Linked DNA regions of Coturnix japonica. The protein of the gene in region 1 interacts with the protein of each later gene in a pairwise test. Links are inferred from orthologs where the notes say so. Each region holds a gene or a part of one and is shown on either strand. Other genes may lie near its edges. The genes, in order: PIAS4, SMAD1 and SMAD7.

Evidence for each region.
Region 2: the proteins of PIAS4 (region 1) and SMAD1 interact in a two-hybrid assay, tested with the Homo sapiens proteins (2 studies listed by BioGRID and IntAct). The link is inferred for Coturnix japonica from reciprocal best matches to the Homo sapiens genes PIAS4 and SMAD1.
Region 3: the proteins of PIAS4 (region 1) and SMAD7 interact in a two-hybrid assay, tested with the Homo sapiens proteins (2 studies listed by BioGRID and IntAct). The link is inferred for Coturnix japonica from reciprocal best matches to the Homo sapiens genes PIAS4 and SMAD7.

Annotation. Positions count from the first base shown.
Region 1 is NC_029543.1:783,125-786,360, forward strand, and holds the end of PIAS4 (E3 SUMO-protein ligase PIAS4), read right to left. Parts: intron 2,966-3,236; coding exon 2,892-2,965; intron 2,737-2,891; coding exon 2,576-2,736; intron 2,391-2,575; exon of another isoform or gene 2,263-2,390; intron 2,217-2,262; coding exon of another isoform or gene 1,907-2,216; exon of another isoform or gene 1,847-1,906; intron 1,132-1,846; coding exon 1,001-1,131; intron 908-1,000; coding exon 702-907; 3' UTR 519-701; downstream 1-518.
Region 2 is NC_029519.1:27,332,639-27,336,940, reverse strand, and holds the start of SMAD1 (mothers against decapentaplegic homolog 1), read right to left. Parts: upstream 2,891-4,302; 5' UTR 2,815-2,890; intron 1-2,814. UniProt on the Homo sapiens protein: Transcriptional modulator that plays a role in various cellular processes, including embryonic development, cell differentiation, and tissue homeostasis.
Region 3 is NC_029547.1:1,083,106-1,087,252, forward strand, and holds the start of SMAD7 (mothers against decapentaplegic homolog 7), read left to right. Parts: upstream 1-1,268; 5' UTR 1,269-2,131; coding exon 2,132-2,630; intron 2,631-4,147. UniProt on the Homo sapiens protein: Antagonist of signaling by TGF-beta (transforming growth factor) type 1 receptor superfamily members; has been shown to inhibit TGF-beta (Transforming growth factor) and activin signaling by associating with their receptors thus preventing SMAD2 access.

The DNA.
Region 1 (3,236 bases):
CCACAGCCCCCAATACCCCCCACCCGCCCTCCCCCCCAATGGCTTCTGCTCAACTAAACGGGGTCACTACGCACGACGCCTACGTTACCTCGGGGTGGGGATGAAGGATACGGGACGTGTCCCAGGACACGAGGTGCAGAGCTGCCCCAGCTCCCCCCTACAACAGTGCGCTCCCATCCATACGGCTCTCCCCATTCACCCCCCCACCCCTACAAACCCCCCTCTATACCAAGTGATACAAACATCCCCCTCCCCTCCCACCCACCCCTCTGCTCTCCCTCCCCCCACCCCCTCTCTCCCTCCCCACGGGTCCGGCAGAACTCGATATACTCAGGAATGGTTAATGAAGGAGACCATCAAGATGCACAGCTTTGGAGACACGTGGGGCTGCGCTGGGGGGCAGCAGAGCCGGAGCTGCAGCCCCAGCCGTGGGTTAAGACACTTTCCTTGCTTCAGAGTCTGGTTCAGGGTCAGGCCTGGAGTTGGGCTGGTTTTCCAACCAAGAAGCAGCTCAGTGGTTGTGGGCTTTTTGTCTGTTTTTTTTCTCTTGTTTTAATGGTTAATTCGGAATAGGAAAGTCAGAGATGGGGGTCGATGGGAGATGAGGTGGGAGACGACGACGCTGCTCTCCAACCCCCCTCCAGTTTCAGCACCAGAGTATTCAAGTCTGTCCGTTCTGAGATCCAGAGCTGCCTCCGCAGTCAGCAGGCAGAAACCAAACCCTTCTCGTAGGAGCAGCGCCGTTTTGGTTGGGGTCCCTCATCGTCGTCATCTTCCTCCTCATCCTCCTCCTCCTCCTCCTCCGACGATGAGCTGTCCAGTGTTAAATCCACCACATCAGCAGCAGCTTTGCCGTTCTCACCGTTGCCGTTAGGTGTGGGCAACAGCCCGTTCACATCCGAAGAACCTGAAAGTGGTCGGGGAAAGAGAAGACTAATTAAAGCCTCTTCTAATTAACATGAGGCTCAGGGCATCAGATGTGCGGTGCAGGGTTACTCACCCAGCACCAGGATGGGGCACTGCGGGCTGCAGCTGCGCTCCTTCTCCGCTCGGATGGGGCACCACGAGCCGTCCACCAGGTACTCGATCTCATCCGCGTCCTCACACTCAGTCAAGATCTTTGACAGCAGCCTGGGTGGGAGGAAGGGCCCCATTGGTCTGTGTTGGCCAGCAGGGAGCCAACGCTCTGCACTGCACTGAGAGCCATGGACCAGCAGCTATTAGAATTAGAAGCACCTCAGCTCTGCAGAGCCTCCCAGGCAGACGCCCCAGACCCCACCAAGGCCACGTGTGGGCTGGCAACTGCCCAGGCTGTGCCCAAGGAACCACCCACCCCCATCACTGCCTGTCCCAGCAGGGCCCAGTGATCCCACATACAGCACTCTGCTCCCCACTGCACACCCACAGCCACTGCAGCAGCTGCCCACCCCACAGCAGCACACTGCGGCCCCACGCAGCCCCCAGTGCCAGCACACACAGCCCTGCGGGCAGCCCCACTGCTCAGCACAGCCGCCCTGGCTGCAATCACCACCACGGAGCCCCAGCACGGGGTGAGAGCAGCACTGACACATGGCAGCACTCAGAGCACTGTCAGCACAGCCCTGTGCCAACCCACCGCTCAGCTCCATGCACCACCCCAGCACTGCGGTGATGCCGCACTAAAGGTCGATTACACAGCTGTGTGATCCCAGCCCATAGATCAGCAGAGGGCTCTGCTGCCTTCCTTCACTCCCAGATGGGAGCCAGGCCTCCATGCAGCTCTGCAGGCAGCTCCACCACCAGGAGGGGGAGAACTGCTGCAGAGCTGGGCGCACACAGCAGCCTGGCTGCAGCACCCAGCACCTCCAGGTGCTGCTCTGCCCACAGGAGCACCCAGCCGGCCTCACCTGGGGAGAACCAAAGCTCTCTATGGTAGAAAGCAAACAGCTCCGGTGCAGAGACAGAGGGAGCAGTGCTCCCACATAGACCAAGACAAGGGAGGAAGGGCAGGGCTGGAGCTGCCCCTGCCATCATTCACAGCACGCGCGTTTCTTGCCTCGCTCTTATCCAAACGTGCCCTGCAATCTGCTGCCCCAATTCCCCACATAAGACAGATTACGTTCCTGATGCAAACGCTGCACCTGCACTTCTGCCTCAGGGACTGCACGGTGTGGGATGTTTGCTTGAGAAGCTGGCAGAGATCCCCCCAGCCGAGCTCCCAGCGTGGCGAGCGCTGCCTGCTCACAGCAAGAGAAGAGGAAGATGGTTCCTATCAAAAATCACCTTATCGTGTGCTTATAAAGTGGGTTTATTCCACGCAGCGTGACATCTGGCAACCAGGGCAGCCAATTGTGCGGGTTCATCAGAGTGAGGCAGTAAACGCTCGATGCTCGTAAGGCTTTAAGGGAATCCTAAAATCAAGAAGGGCAGACCGACAAACCTTGCTCCAGCACACCACCACAAGCAGTCAGGGCATTATGCAGGAGCACAACACGCTTCCAGCTTTGCTCCCATGCAGGCTCCAGAAGGGCAGACTAAAGAATGCTTCACCCAGCAGCAAAACCCCAGGGCTGAGGACAGCAGCACCCACACTCACCCATCAATTATCAGCTGGTCGTAGGGCGCGGGCTTGTCACACACGGGACACATCCACGTGGGCTTCTTCTCATTCATCTGAAGGTAGAAGACTGCATCGAAGCACTGCAGGTGGGCGCAGGTCTCAGCCCGGCACGGCACGGACAGCCGCATCTTCACCAGCTGCGGGAGGAGGGCAGTGGTGAGCAGCAGGGCCGAGCTCACAGCCAGCGCTGTGTCCCCTCCAGCACAGCAGCGCTGCTGCACAAGGCAAAGCTGAGCTGGCAGGATGGGTTTTCTGGATGTAACCACACTTAGGAGGTATTGCAGAGACTCACCGGGCAGATGAGAGACACCCGAACGCCTGTTGTAGCGATTTCACTGTCTGGGTCCAAACGTAGCTTCTCTTTTACTGCAGGAAGAGCAAAGGGTGATAAAATTAACTTCAACATGGAGGCGTCTCACAGTGCAGGGTGAGGAGCCCTCAGGGGCAGAGAGAACAGCACAGCACTGCAGCAGCAATGCACAACCTGCATGGCTCAGCGCTCAGCAGCACACAGGCTGCAGGCCAGGCAGGAAAGCTTCTTCCTGCAGCCCCCGACCTCAGGGCTGCTCCCCTTCCCCACAGCCCAGCCTTCCCAGCCAGCAGGAGCCTGCTGTCACCATCCCTGTGCTGCTGGGGA
Region 2 (4,302 bases), on another chromosome or scaffold:
TACGGTGGGAGAAAGGGTGAATGGCTTCAGCCAGCTGAAGTGCTTATGAAACTGTAACAGATATAGTGAACTTCTTTTGAAGCGAGGAAAAACTCTTTCATTTCAAGTACAACAGCACATGTGAGTTCAGAAGAGCTACTGTAAGCTGGGCTCTTTGGTGAATAAAGAAGACAAAGAATGATAGGACCAAGGAACTGAATGAGCTTATTTACTCTGTTATGGAGAGTAAGTAAATTAGTAATTAATTAGTCATCCCAAGGTAATGAGTTCTTAGTGACTTCTCCATAACTGACAAGTCCTGAGAATAAATGTATATGTATTGGTTTCTGTTTGCACTTTCAGGAGGAAATGACATCATAGGCTTCAGACATCCTGGCAGTCATGCAAAGTGTTGGAAAATGTTGCCCACAAGACAAAGGCATTAGGACCAATTTTAAGCTCCGTCTTTCCTTCATAGATCAAAAATAGCCAAATTTTTTACAAACAAGTTGAGTAGATTTAAAAGCAACCCCCTCTACATTTCATATATTATTGCACAAATCTATAAGTCCTCACTATAAGCCAAAAACTGCAAAACTAGGCCGCTGAAAGCAAGGACCTATCAGGATCAATGTGGTTGTTATCATCTTAAGTACTCAGTCGCGGCGGGTCCTGACGCCCATCCTCTATTGCTTATACATGTTCTTTCCAAAAGATCTGTCACATTCAAAGAACAGAACAAACAGTGGTCAGAAATAACACACAGTGATTTTGTTTTCCCCACCAGATTATGCTGTAGCGAACCATTACAGAAAGGGCTTTGGCAATACCTAGTTGCAAAACTGAGGCTAAGATAAAGCTGTTTTACACCTCATTGCTCATCTCCTGTCAAAGAAAAATCATCTCTCCTTTTCCTGCCAAATTGATATATTTTCCCAAAAGTTCTCTAACATTTTCAGCCCTGGCAAAACAATCTGTTCATTTCTTTGTCCTGTTCTCAGAAAGGCTGAAACATTTTCTCTGACATTTTCTACACATTCTGCCTGAAGCACACACCTAGGATAATTAATATTTGATGAAGTTCTGAATACATCAAATCAATACAGTTTCAGTGTAGGCAACCTGAATGACAAACAATTATCTTAGCCCACTAATACTATGCGTAGTTTGCTCCGAAAGTAATGCCTCCTATTTATTCCTTGGAAACTACAACAGGTACAAAACATAATAATGCTACCTGATAGAGCAAATTTGCAGCTACAAAACACTGCGTTTCAACAGAGCCACCACAATTAGCTATGCATTTTTGTCAGCAATGAACAACAGACTGCATACCATGCTGGTGAAAACATGCATGGCTGCCTGGATCATGGCTTGTCTTTCACGTCGCTATCACTACTGCTGATACACACTGCCCACTGCCTCACTGTACTGACACTCTTTGTTCATACACATTCAGCAAGTGTCAATGAATGTCGGTGGGTGCCAGTTTTTCCGCATGGAAGAATTCAGTGACAAATCCTTGCTTTACGTGCACTTCTACCTCAGACATCATTTTGTCAGACTGCCCCTCTGCTGCCATCTGTCACAGGGCAGCAACATGTAAAGGGATATTGGCAGGGAGGTTCAACCTCTACTGCCTTTAATGTCATGGGCCGACAGCCCTCATAGTTCTAAGGACTGAACTATGCCATGCATATCCAGAGATTCTGCTGATGTCAGAGGAAGAGACCTCATGGCTCACCAATACTTCGGAAAGTGGTATTCTAAGTTCCACAGTCAATGAGACTAAGGTACCCATGTGCCTCTTCAGACAATTAGATTTCAGTATGAAGCATTTGATCTGAGTGCAGAAACGTATCACTTTTACAGACAAGGATCAAATGTTCAATATGGACATCATCATCACAAGGAAGTCCCTCAGTAACCGCAAATAGCAAGATATAGCAATGCTGCCTTATTCTAACTGGAAACCTGTAATCAGAAATTAGCCTCAGCCAATGCACAGCTGGTCCAGCTTCTGCAAAGTACTGTCACACGGCATGTGAAACCCCTACAGTTCAGTTGTTCATGCTCCTAAGGCTTTCAGCACCTAGAAGATGGCACTGACAGAGAGTATATCACCCCGATTAAGCAAAGCATATGCCTGTCAGAGAGCAACCAGATGGAAGAGTGCAACAATTTATGGCCTGCAGTTAGACAGTCTTGCACTGTGATCTCATCAAATCCTGAACAGAATATGTCAAACTTGGTCAGTGTGTCAGTGCACAGATAAGATACACTCCAGGGAAAACATGGATAGATTAAGAAACAGTTTAGGATTCTGACATAGGATTTAGATGACAACTGCTAATGCACTGTTTCAATTCTCAGTTAATTTCCCAGATGTCTGAGATACCCCAATCTAGTCCTGGTTGGTCGTAGTTGAGAGTCATTGTGCTGCTGGGAGCAGATTTCTCATTTCTCAGATGAGAAATAAAATTACAGTCATGCCTTGTGATTAATTAAAAAAATCATCCTTGGTTTTGCTTGAGGGCATGGCATTTTCAGAGGCAATGTAATAGAGAAAGGAAGATTGTTCAGTTTCTTTGATCCCGGTATAACCTGCCAGCCTTATTTTTTCAAAATCCTACTTTAAAGTTTGTCAATACTGGGACACAAAAAGCCAGAAATGTAAGTTGGTTTCAGACTCCAAACATCATGAGAATTTTCTAGAAAGACATATGCAATAACGGAGCAGATAACACAACATATTCTTTTACAGTTCCATTCTCTTCCCTTTACACTCACATTTCTGCTCATTCACACCACTAATTACTCAACTGTTAACCTCACCTCATTTCCCCAGATTCTGATCTAGTGTGTGTTCATCCTTATTCTGGTTTGAGTCTCTTTGGTTCCAGTCACTATCTTTGCCTGCAAAACACAATATACATATAGAATTTTACATAGAATTGTTGTGCTCTAACAAAGCATACAAAGTTTTATCTCAGACTCATTAAAGACAGTGACAATGATGCTTCCTGAAGAACTAACTAGTCAGAAGGTAATTAACCAACCTAAAGTTTAGCCAGGGCACCACATAGCACCAATGGCTCGAGAGGAAAATGCCCAGAGGATTGCAAGCAGTCAGGTCTCCTACCTCCCGCACCGCATAACACTGCCCACAGATGGATGGCTAAGGCCAAAGTGAATTTACAAACCTTTTGTTCTTCATAGATACGTAGTGTTTGACTGTATCAGGCTATAGAATAATTAATTTCTGGAACTTTTAGGCTGAAAAGCATTCACATTTTTTATACTTGCTTTGCTCTGATTTTTGTTTTACTTTCCGTTCTTTCAATTTCGACAAAAGTGAATCAGAGAAGCAATGCCTGCCTTATCGTTGATTCGTGGTATATAATCACATTAAATACAGATCACTGGCCTCCTAGTTACTACAGTGCCATTTACAAGAGACAATTATCCCTGCATGGTGCAGTTTTCATGATTTAGTGATTGAAAATGCTTGTTATCAGTGCAGACCCAGCTGTGTGTTTCTCTCTCTAAAGCTGATTTGATTTTCCAGCGCTGTCATCCTTGAAGTTCTCTGCAGTGCAGCTCAGTTCCCAGTCTGCACATACCAAGTGAGGTCCTTTTGATGTAAGGTGCATGGGGCAGAGTCTGCATGCTGCTCCCACCTGTTTCAGGACAGCAGTACAAGAAACAGGAAAGAAACACAGCTACTCTGGGAAGTCTCCAGCCACTGCAATATGCTGAAAGGAAGCCCTACTAAAGGCAGTGACCACGTGTAAATGCCAAAACAAAAGGTGAGGGGGCTGGGGGATGGAAAACAGCAGCATTGTCTACCAAAACACTCCAGTTAGTTTAAAAATTAGCTGGAGAAGATGCAAAGAAGCCTGAGTCTTAATGACCTCAGTCCTGTAATATACTACTAATTAGCCCTATGATGAATAAATAGGAACAAAATAAGGAGTGACAGACTAGGTCAGCCAGTGGTTTGCCAAGCCTTGTCTCATCTTTTCTACTTGGGTCCGTATGAGGTGCTTTTTAATTGTGTCTATGCTATCTTTTATTAGTAATCAGGACCAGAATTGCATTGCATTATACCTTATACAAATAGACACAGAAACACTCCACTTGCTCTTTGATCCTATAAAGCACAGCAAGAGCAGCTCCTCCCCAGCTGATATTTGTGCAGCTCCTTCTGGAGGGCAGACACATGCCTTTGCTGCTTCTCTGCCAGCCCTCTCTCTACCTCCTGCTGACCTAACCCAGCAAGCCTCATATTTTTCTGCCCTGCCTCTTTCTGCAGCCTACACT
Region 3 (4,147 bases), on another chromosome or scaffold:
CATTTAACACATAGCAAGTAACATCTTACAGCACTGTCATATGTAATTTTAAATATGTAACATGTAACATTAACATAACATACAGCGTGTAACATGTAACGCCATACAGCATGGTGACATGTAACAGCATGTAGCATGTGATACCATCTAGCACTGCAACATGTAACATGCCATATGCCATGTAGTATTATATAGCACTGCAACATGTAACATGCCATATACCATGTAGTATCATATAGCACTGTAACATGTAACATGCCCTATAGCATGTAACACCTGGCACATAACACACTAGGTAGCACACAGCATGACACACAGCATGTAGCATGTACCAGCGCTGCATGCAACACCCAGCAGGCAGCACGCTGCATGCATGCAGCACCGCACACACAGCACACAGCGCATGGCAGCCCTGCAGTAACACGCCCCTATGCAGGAGCTGCCCCACACTTATGGGGGGGGTCCCCATCCCTTAGGGCTCATTGCCGGGGGTCACCCCTGGGGACCCCCCTCTCCCTGCAGGCAGCAGGACCATCCCATTCCCCCCCCCCCGCCGGGCACCCCGCGTTGCGCAAAGCGCCGTCGGATCAGTGCGGGCGGATGGAGATAAATATATAATTCCTTTTTTTTCCCCTCCCGGAGCGACGCGCTGTCTAGACGCCCACGTGATGGGGCTGCGCGCAAACGGAGCGGGCGGGGGGGAAAGGGGGGTGGGGGGGAAGGGAGGCAATAGGGAAAAAAAAGAAGAAGAAAAGGGGGGCGCGGCCACAACGCGCACGCACCGTCGCTTCTCCCCCCTCCTCCCTACACACACATACACACCTCCCCCCGCGCAAAAATAATTAGGGGAAAAAAAAAAAGGCAAAAGGGAACGACGGAGCCGCGGCGGTGCGGGTGTGTGAGCGGGGAGAGCAGGGGAAAATAGGGGCAAAAAGAGGAGGAGGAGGGAGAAGAATCACCGAGAAAAGCCCGAGAGGCTGCGGGGAGGGTGGGGGCGGGGAGCCGCGGCCGCGCTTACATTCCGCGCTTCATTCGCCCCGTTTCTCTCCTTGGCAGAGCGGAGCGGAGCGGGGACGCGCGATGCTGCTCGCTCCGCGGACGAACGCGCCGAGGCCGCTCCGCACGTAGGGCCGCCGGGCTCCTTTTTTAGACTTATTTTACATTTTTATTTTTTTAAAGTTTTTTTTTTTAATTATTATTATTTTTTTATTTTTTAACCTCTTTCCCCCCCCCCCTCCCTTCTTCTCCCACCCCCCCCCCCCCCCGCCCCGTCCCTTTGCCTCGCCCTTCTCCATTTTTTCCGCCCCTCTCCCCCTCTCGTCGCGGTGCGTTGATGGGAGCTGCGGCCCCCGGCAGCCCCACGGCTCCCCCCGGCTCTGTGCTCTCTCCGCACCCGCGCTGGGCCGCCCCCCCCCGCGCGATGCGCCGCGGAGCCGCGCTCTGAAACCGCGCCGATTTCTCCCATTTTCCCTTTTAATCCTTTTTCTCTCCTTTTCCTAAAGGAGAGCGGCACCCCCGGGTTTTTCTCTTCCCCCCCCCCGACTTTTTTTGCTTTTCACCTCTCGCAGCGTGGGCAACCCTTGAGTGCTGCTCACTCCTCTCTCCCCAGCCAAGCAAAGCGGAGTGAAACTGCTCCTTTTTCTACCATTTTCTTTTTTGTTTTCCTTTTTTTTTTTTTTCCCCTCTCCTTTTTCTCTCCTTCACTTACTAAAGGGGAACGGCACCCCCGAACTCTCCCTTTGCTTACCCGCTTTTTGCTCCCCTTCACCTCGCGGCGCGGTCACCCCTCGCGCTGCCCACCTCCAAGCAAAGCGCCGTGAAACTGCGCTGATTTGTCACTTTTTTGCGTTTTTTCCCACTTTTATCTTTTCGTATTTTTAAAGCCGAGCACCGCCTTCCCTCCGAGCTCTTTCTCCCCCGCTTTTTTTCCCTTTTACCTCGCGCAGCACGAGTGCCCCTCACGCTGCGCACCCCCCCGGCCATCAAAGCGCGGAGCCTGGCGCATGCACCACCCCGGCCGGGCCCCCCCCCCGCTCGCCGCTGCCCCCCGCCTCGCCCCGGCTGCCGGCCCCTTCATGCTCGGCGCACGCCATGCCCGTGCCGTAGCCGGGGGCCCCTCCTCACGTCCCGCATGTTCAGGACCAAACGCTCGCTCCTCGTCCGACGGCTCTGGCGGAGCCGCGCACCCGGCGGCGGAGAGGAGGAGACGGGAGACGGCGCAGCGCCGGCCGAACCTCGGCCGCACTCATGCGGCGGGGGGAACCGGGGGTGCTGCCCGGCCAAACCCCCCCGCGGGGGCGGCCGGGGGGCGGCGGAGGGCGAGCTGAAGGCGCTGACCCACGCCGTGCTGAAGCGCTGCAAGGAGCGGCAGCTGGAGGGGCTGCTGCGCGCCGTCGAGTCCCGCGGGGCGGCCCGCACCCCCTGCGTGCTGCTGCCGGCTCGAGGGGAGGCGCGGCTGGGAGCGCAGCGGGACGCGCTGCCCGCGCTGCTGTGCCGGGTGTTCCGCTGGCCCGAGCTGCGGCACGGGGCGCCCCTCAAGCGGCTCCGAGGCTGCTGCCAGGCCGACGGCGCGGCGCCCACCGAGCTCGTGTGCTGCAACCCGCACCACCTCAGCCGCCTCTGCGAGCTCGGTAAGGGGCGATGGGCGGGGGGATGTGGGGACGGGGTGAGGATGGGGGCGGCTCTGATGTGGGGGTGGAAGGTGGTCGTGGTGTTGGGTGGGGGTGGCGGTGAATTGGGCCGGGGGCTGGGGGTGATTCTGTCCGAGGGATGGGTGTCGTGGCTTTGTGATTCTGGGTATCCCACATCCCAACTCGTGTAGTGTGCACTGGGAGTTGACAGATGGGGTATGTCCTAGGGGTGGAGTTGGTAGGGATGTGGGGATGGAGGTGGTGGTGGGGATGGAGTGTGTCCTGGGGTTTGAATTAAATTGGGATGGGGCTGGAGATGATGACATGGGGCTGGGAATGGAGTGTGTCCTATGGATGGGGTTTAATGGGGTGAAAATAGAGGTAGTGAAATGGGGATGGTGATAGTGATATGGGGCTGGGGCTGGAGTATGTCCTAGAGATGGCATTAAATTGGGATGAGGCTGAAGTGTGTCCTAAGGATGGGATATGTCCTAGGGTTGGGGTTTATTGAGGTGGGAATGGAGGTAGTAATGGGGATGGAGTATGTCCTAAGGATGGTATTGAGATTGGGCTGGAGAATAGTGATATTAGTGATATGGGGCTGGGGCTGGAGTATGTAATAGGGACAGCACATAATGGGGTGGGAATGGAGGTAGTGAAATGGGGATGGGACTGGAGGTAGTGGTGGAGTTGGAGTATGTCCTAGGGATGGGGTATAATGGGGTGGGAACAGAGGTAGTGAAATGTGGATGGAGATGGAGGTAATGATGGGGATTGGACTGGAGAGGTGGGCATGGAGTATGTCCTTGGGATGGGGATGGGGTATAGTGGGATGGAGATGGAGGTAATAAGGGTGGGACTGGAGGTCCTGGTGGGGATGGCATGTGTCCTGGGGTTGGGGATGGAAGCAGTGGTATAGGGCTGGAAGTGGGATATGTCTTAGGGCTTGGGTATGTGTTAGGGATAAGGATGATGGAGGTAGTGATACAGGGCTGGAGCTGGATATGTCCTAGGGGTTGAGTATGTCCTAGGGATAGGAATATAATGGGAATGATGGGGCTGGGGTATGATGGGGTCCTGGGACTGGGGCTGGGGTATGGCCTGGGGATGAAGATGGTACTGGTATGGGGATGGGGTCAGGAATGAGCTATGGCCTGGAGCTGGGCTGTGGCCTGGGGACAGGGATGGAGGTAGTGATATGGGGATGGGGGTGGGTTATGGCCTGGGGCTGGAGTGTGGGGTTGGAGGTAGGGATATGGGGATGGGGCTGAGGTATGGTCTGGGAATGGGAATGGAGGTAGTGATGTGGGGCTGGGGTCAGGGATAGGGATGGGGTTGCAGATGGAGGTGGAGATGGGTTATAGGAATAGGGTAGGGAATCAGGTTGGGGTCATGAATGGGGATGGGGTTGCAGATGGGATGGTATGGAAGTGGGGACGTGGGAGATAGAGATGCAACCAACTTCTTTCCCTTAGAAACCCAATATCTATAATAATTCTCAGCCCCTCTAAAGCTTT